Drosophila melanogaster: one gene and its partner. The protein of the gene in region 1 interacts with the protein of each later gene in a pairwise test. Each region holds a gene or a part of one and is shown in the gene's direction. Other genes may lie near its edges.

What was found. The genes of interacting proteins can lie anywhere in the genome.
Region 2: the proteins of PH4alphaNE2 (region 1) and aay interact in a two-hybrid assay, tested with the Drosophila melanogaster proteins (one large-scale study listed by BioGRID).

What each region holds. Positions count from the first base shown.
Region 1 is NT_033777.3:30,510,503-30,514,256, reverse strand, and holds the start of PH4alphaNE2 (prolyl-4-hydroxylase-alpha NE2), read left to right. Parts: upstream 1-2,042; 5' UTR 2,043-2,046; coding exon 2,047-2,246; intron 2,247-2,307; coding exon 2,308-2,456; intron 2,457-2,509; coding exon 2,510-2,660; intron 2,661-2,719; coding exon 2,720-2,919; intron 2,920-2,981; coding exon 2,982-3,637; intron 3,638-3,693; coding exon 3,694-3,754. Other genes in the region: CG31524 (uncharacterized protein), read left to right, coding at 1-104, 158-300, 353-503, 558-757, 817-1,466, 1,528-1,693, 1,755-1,861.
Region 2 is NT_037436.4:9,421,118-9,424,871, forward strand, and holds aay (astray), read left to right. Parts: upstream 1-2,135; 5' UTR 2,136-2,432; coding exon 2,433-3,245; 3' UTR 3,246-3,664; downstream 3,665-3,754. UniProt on the Drosophila melanogaster protein: Catalyzes the last step in the biosynthesis of serine from carbohydrates. The reaction mechanism proceeds via the formation of a phosphoryl-enzyme intermediates.

The sequences.
Region 1 (3,754 bases):
TCTGTGGTGAATATGGATGACCTTCTGAACATGGAAGACGATCTGGTCTCCAAATTGGAAGGCTACGCTGAAAAGTTATCTTATAAAGCCAATACCATCAGATGGTGAGTCAAATTGGTCAGCATTTCTAAAAAGGGCTCATAAGGCTTACTTAAAGGGGAATTCAACAGATGAGGGAACAGCTCGATAAGAGCAAGAAGGAGCAGTCCTTCGATTTATTTAACAGGTACTCCTTCATTCGTCACATGCAGGCGGATTGGTTGATGTGGAAACAATATTTAGATAAACCCGTGATTCGTGGTTCGTCATTATGTTTTAATATATTCAAGCTATAACGCTGTCATCTCTGTAGATGAGTTGAATTATAAACAGATGGACAATTTGAGGATGCCCCAGGAACTTGACTTGTTTGACGCATCAGAAGCTATAAGAAGAATGCAAGCTACTTACGCGATGTTATCCAATGACATAGCGGAGGGTTTCCTAGATGGAGTTCAGTACACGTATGTAGAAGAACCATTTCCTCCTAGTTCTTATTTAATCTATATCAATCCAAGTTCAAAACTGTCACCTATCGATTGCCTTGCAATGGGTCGACATTTGATGAATCAATCGCGATGGACGATTGCCGAACAATGGATTCTGGCAGGTATTAAGGCCCAGGATCGGAAAGGTCCTCAAACAGAGATGATCTTACTGAGGGGGCCGACAAAAGCTGAACTCTTTAGAACACTCGGTAAAGTGCGGTTCGAAAGGAGTAAGTTCAAAAAAAGGCAAACTATGGTTTTACTAGGAATACATTTTTGTTGATTGTAGGAAATGAAGAAGGAGCCCTGAAAGCTTATCAAGCTGCTCTCAAGCATTCGCCCCATGATCTGGAAATATTCCAGGAGTATCAAAACTTGAAGAGGAGGGTTCTTACGTTATCACCAAGTGAACCGATCCGAGAGGAACCAAATGATGATATCGAAGAAATGGAGCTGCCGCCTTGCTGCAGTGGTCGTTGTGAAGGGCCGCGAAAACTCAACAGACTATATTGTGTGTATAATTGTGTAACTGCTCCTTTTCTGCGACTGGCCCCCATCAAAACGGAGATTCTCTCGGTTGACCCCTTCGTGATTCTTCTACACGACATGGTCTCTCACAAGGAGGGTGCTCTTATAAGATCTTCCAGTAAAAATCAGATCCTTCCTTCCGAAACAGTCAACGCCGCAAATGAGTTTGAAATTGCCAAGTTCCGCACTTCAAAGTCAGTTTGGTTTGACAGTGATGCCAACGAGGCGACTTTAAAGCTTACTCAACGTTTGGGTGAAGCAACTGGCTTGGATATGAAACATTCCGAGCCTTTTCAGGTCATCAACTATGGAATTGGAGGCGTCTTTGAAAGCCATTTTGACACGTCGCTTGCGGACGAGGATCGATTCGTTAACGGATATATTGATAGACTCGCCACAACACTTTTTTATGTCAGTCCTTCGTTTGACGCTAACAGTTTTCTTATAATCTTAGCGACTCTTCCAATTCCAGCTAAATGATGTTCCACAAGGCGGTGCCACCCATTTTCCGGGTCTAAATATCACTGTCTTTCCAAAGTTTGGAACTGTTCTCATGTGGTACAATCTGCACACGGAGGGTATGCTGCATGTGCGAACAATGCACACCGGCTGCCCAGTTATTGTGGGGTCCAAATGGGGTTAGTAGAGCTTGCATTTCTGGATCTTCTTGTGTTTTATAGGCTTCATTACCCTTCACAGTTGTCAGCAAGTGGATAGACGACAAAGGTCAAGAGTTCAGAAGGCCCTGCTTAAGATCGCGCTTAGACTCAAAATATTTGTCATCAATAGAGAAGATTATTATCTAGCCTTTGCCAATAATAATTAATAAGTATAAGGAAAAAACATATATGGGGAAACATTAAAGTTGAAGCGAAACAAACCCCAGACGAACTATGGAATAAGGTGAAACTAATGGGTGTATCAATATGATTATGTACAGAACGGTACAGAATGCTTTTTTTCTCTAGCTGGATGCACAGTGGGTTTCAGAATGCTGTTCTGGAGATTGGTGCTCCTGGGAATGCTCTATCTGTCCCTGAGTTTTGGCCAGTTGCGAGAGAACAATGCCCAACAGCGCTTTGCAAGATCTGTGGTGAATATGGATGATATGCTGAACTTAGAGGACGATCTTGTCTCAAATGTGGAAAAGCTGGCGGAAGCGCTTGCACGAAAAGCCAAAACCATTAAATGGTGAGTAATGCGTAGGTCCAAACAATCACAAGGATTTCTTAATGCAATGCAAGCTTTGAAGGGGCGTCTTCAAGATGATGAAAAGGCGACAGGAGTATAAGTCGTCTATGGAAATTTTTGCCAATCCGATTGACACCTTTTCCCTCATTCGTCACATGCAGTCGAACTGGTTGATGTGGCTATTGTACTTGGAAACGCCTGTTGGCCAAGGTTAGATAAATGGTTTGAGATATTTCTTATTACTTAAGAGTCTCTTTGCACAGAGGAATTGTTTTTTGTGGACTCAAGGATGCCCCTATTGCCAAAGTACTTTGACTTTATAGATGCCGCTGAAGGCATTAGAAAAATGCAGGCCACATACCAGATGTTTTCCTCAGATATAGCCAAAGGCTTACTAGATGGAGTGCAATACAAGTAGGTGATGATGTCATCCTAATCAAGAGGGAGTTTTTAATTAATGTAATTACTTAAAGCTCTTCTCTAAAACCCATCGATTGTCTCGCAATTGGTCTTCATCTGATGAATAACTCGCGTTGGTATGCTGCCGAGCAATGGATAAGTGCTAGCATTGAAGCCTATGATCAGAAAAGTTCTCAGACCGATATGGAGTTATTGAGGGGACCAAAACTGGCTGACCTGTGCAGAATACTGGGTCAAGTACAAATGAAGCAGAGTAAGTAGGAAGTGCATTCAAAAGGTTATTTGGGTTGGGCATGAGACTTCTATTGATTGCAGGAAATCATGAGGGTGCTCTTCAAGCCTATCAGGTTGCGCTAAAGCTTTCGCCTCATGACCCAGAAATATATGAGGAGTATCGGATCCTGGAAAAAAGAGATCTTACGTTGTCAGATATCGAACCGATTGAACAGGATAAGGACAACTCCCACGAAAGATTGGTTCTTCCGCCCTGTTGCAGTGGTCGCTGTCAAGTTCCCCGAAATCTGAGTAATCTATATTGTGTATATAACCATGTTACCTCCCCATTTCTGCAACTGGCCCCCATCAAAACGGAGATTCTATCGATTGATCCCTTCGTAGTGCTCCTCCATGACATGATCTCCCAAAAGGAGAGTACTCTCATTAGAACTTCGAGCAAGGAACACATGTTGCCGTCTGCCACAACTGACCCAGATGCATCCGATGACGAAACACAAGTCGACACATACCGCACCTCAAAGTCTGTTTGGTATAGCAGTGACTTCAACGATACGACCAAGAAGATAACCGAGCGCTTGGGAGATGCGACTGGGCTGGACATGAACTCTACGGAGTTCTATCAGGTCATTAACTACGGGCTAGGGGGTTTCTTCGAGACGCATTTGGACATGTTGCTGTCGGAAAAAAACAGGTTCAATGGAACCAGTGATCGTATTGCCACCACACTCTTCTATGTTTGTATCCTGAGTTTTGAAAAGTGGCTTGTAAAGATTAATTTCTTCTCCGTCAGCTTAATGAAGTTCGCCAGGGCGGCGGCACGTACTTCCCTCGACTAAATCTCACGGTATTCC
Region 2 (3,754 bases), on another chromosome or scaffold:
GTATGTTTCCATGCTCGATATCCTAGTATTATTATCTTTTATATACAAAACATTCATATCTATGAGAAGCCCATTCAAAACCATGTGTTAGAAAGTAGGCAACAAAAAAGTTACATTATTCTGAAATGCCAACAAACTAATAGTTCAAACTTTTAATAAACTTTAAATGGTCTTTAGTGGTTTGAGATTAAGAGTTTCGACTGCTCAACGAATTTTTTGTGAATTAGAACCATTACCGCGTCGGCCATTCAATGGGCATAATAAATTAGTCAGCTCGGGTACTTTGCCATGCGGTCCGGATCAGGTGACGAGCCTACCTCTATTTAGTTTGTATGTCCAGGGAAAGTGTGTACATACATATACAAAATGGAAACGGACTTGGTTGGAAATTTATGCAGCAACAAGGTCAATCGATAAATGCAGAGCCGAAAGGTACACCCAAAACCCAAGACGAGTTGCCAAGGTAAAACAAAAAATAACGGTAAACGACAGGTGCCGCAGCCGCTGACAGGCTCAGGTAAAGGTACAGGTGTGGTCGGGGCCGTTATTCCCTTGGATTTTCCTTCCTTCTTTGGTTATTTGGTCGCTCGAGGCAACGGCAATTAAAAGCAGTCAACTGTTTACGGCTTTGTTTAGTGGAAGTCGTTGGCCGAAGTAAGCTTTAAATATGCATGAGAACATGTTCAAACATGCACATGCACGCATTGCACGCAATGAATTGTTTATCGTTATCGATAACGTGGCATTGAAATACTTTTTGCGGTCTAGCCGCAGTTTACTTTTTGTTGTTTTTGAGCTGTTTACCACGAACGGAACGATCGCAAACGATCAAAACAACTTGTTATTCTACAATTGCGAAAAAAGTGCCATAGCAACGATAACAAAAACAAGAAACCGCAGAGAGAATTGCATTTACAGCCGTCATTGTTGTTTTTGCCACTTGCAATTGCACGCCCCTCGCTTTTGTTGTTGATTTGTATCTAATTACCGGAGACTCAAAAGTCAAATCATGAATGTTCGGAGAGAAAATTGAGAAAAAAGATACTTCACCTTACATGAAAGCGTATGACACTGCAACAGTAGCTATAAATTGCATCAGAATGTCGGACTGGAACAGTTTAAATATAAGTCTAGCCGATTTAAAAATACCTAAGGCTTACACCAGCGTTAATCAGCTGAGATTTCGGTTATTTTCCACATCAATGATTAAGCATTAATGCAAAAAAGAAAGTATTGAAAACAGGGGGATCAACCAGACGCAAAAAGTACACTTCGTTTTCAAAGTGATAAGCAGCATGCGCCCGTGTTTGGATTTTACCAGACAACATTTCTAGAACCGGGGTCATAAATGCCACACTTGTTATTTGTTTGTCGATAATTTTTGAGGTAGTCTTTCGATGTCTGGACCCAGAACCAGGTCTCCTGGCAATCTTCAAGTATGAAATGGTGCCAGAAAAGATAAGGAGCGATGGTCTCCTGCTGGAAAATCTGGTTCTAGGCGGTTCTTCTAAGCAGTCGAGTGTCGCGAGTTTAATGACAGCTCAACCATAATTGTTTCTATTGTTTATATATTTTGTGATAAGCAGACATTGTCGCATTCATGCAGCACATGTTGTGATCAAAGGTTCACGTTCCCCCAAAGCAATTCTCTCTCAATTGAAACTGATTAAATGAAAATTGAGCGTAATTCGCGGATAAAAATATAAGCCATAGAAGTTAGGGTATTCTGGAAGTCTTCTTGAACTGACCGAAAAACGAAAACGGTTTGGAGTTTGTAACAAAAACGCATTTCTCTCCCACTCGCACACTTGTAATGCTTATCGTTCGATCGCTACACTGAAAAGAAAGCAACTGCGTTTACATTTTGTAAGAATAAATTACAATTATTGATATTTCGATTTGATAATGTATTTAAATGTAAAATTTTAATCTAGTTTCTTGTGGCTTAAATTGTTATGCAAATCAGCTAGTTGGACAAAAATAGTTTCGTCTGGACATAAATTTTTCTTTCCGTGTGGTCGGTAATCATTTTTTCGTTCCGTGTGGTCAGTGTGAAAAGAGAGAACGACAAAAAGAGAGAAACCGCTTTTGTGTGCGTTGAGCGGGTTTTCTTAAAAGGGCGATCGACTGTTTTTGAGTCACTTGTGAAAAATCAGTCATCGCGAGCAGTTCGACTAAGGAAAACCCGCTGGCACACACAAACCGTAACCACTTATCAAACAAAAACAGCTGGCCCGCAACGCGAAGCGCGTGTGCAAAAAGAAACGAGAAAACATACACAACAAAAAAGCACAAGATATAAGAGATACACAAAAAGAGAAGCAGTGGAAAATTTTGGGCACCAAACACAGCCGAAGCTTTTACGCCAAACGTTAAACGAAAAGCCAAAACTTAAACCGCTTCCAAAAAACACAACGTGTTCGCCGGTCGAGATGAGCGGTTCCGTATTGAGTTTGGCGCGTCCTGCAGCAGCCACAAATGGCCATAATCTGCTGACCAAACAGCTGAATTGCAATGGCAATGGCACCACCGGTGGCGCGGCGAAAACCACTGTGGCCTCGGCCATAACACCGCCCAAGCAGCCCCAGTTGGCGGCCAAGGTCATCCAGCAGTCGCAGATCGTCTGTTTCGATGTGGACTCCACGGTGATTTGCGAGGAGGGCATCGACGAACTGGCCGAATATTGTGGCAAGGGGAGCGAGGTGGCTCGCGTTACCAAGGAGGCGATGGGCGGTGCCATGACCTTCCAGGATGCCCTCAAAATTCGCTTGAACATCATACGGCCGACACAGCAGCAAGTGAGGGATTTCATCCAGGAGCGACCCAGTACACTGAGCAAAAACGTGAAGCGTTTCGTCAGCCATTTGAAGGCGGAGGGAAAACAGGTTTACTTGATCTCCGGCGGATTCGATTGCCTAATTGCGCCCGTGGCCAATGAATTGGGTATTCCCCTGAAAAACGTCTATGCCAACAAGATGCTGTTCGATTATTTGGGCGAATACGATAGCTTTGATATCAACCAGCCCACTTCGCGTTCCGGCGGAAAGGCAGAGGCTATCGCCCTGATAAGGAAGGAGAATAGCGACGATTCCCTAATCACCATGATCGGCGATGGAGCCACCGATCTGGAGGCCGTACCGCCAGCCAACTACTTTATAGGTTTCGGTGGCAATGTCGTGCGGCCGGAGGTCTATCGCCGTGCACAGTATTACGTAACGGATTTTGAGCAGCTGATGGGGCAGTGAGATACGTATACGTAAGGCGGTGGGGGAGTGGCGAATTTAGTATTTGAAATCAACGTGTTATAGCTCGTAGTGATGCACATGTTTATGCCCAAGTATGTGTGTAATAATATGTACGTTAGTTCGTAATTAAACAATAATAAAAAGCGATAGTAATAAATGGAAAACGAACAAGTGAAATCAACTTTGTTACTGTTAACTTAACAGAATATGTTAAGCGCGCACTGTTAGTGAATCAGCAGAAGTTGTAAAAATACAGGGTGCGCCCTTATGCTAATGAACAGTTCACGCTTTAGCATCCAACTGTAAGCAATTTATTTAATTTAAAGAAATTTCATGCACATAAAATATGTATAAAAATAAATTTCTGTATTTATATGTTTATGGCGAACAAAAACGAAAAATACAACAAAAGTTTAAATAAAACATTCATTTTTCTATGGAATAGTATGTTAAATACTTTATTTAAATTTTTGATTGTAGGTACCAATTAGGTAAAACCAATTAAAGCC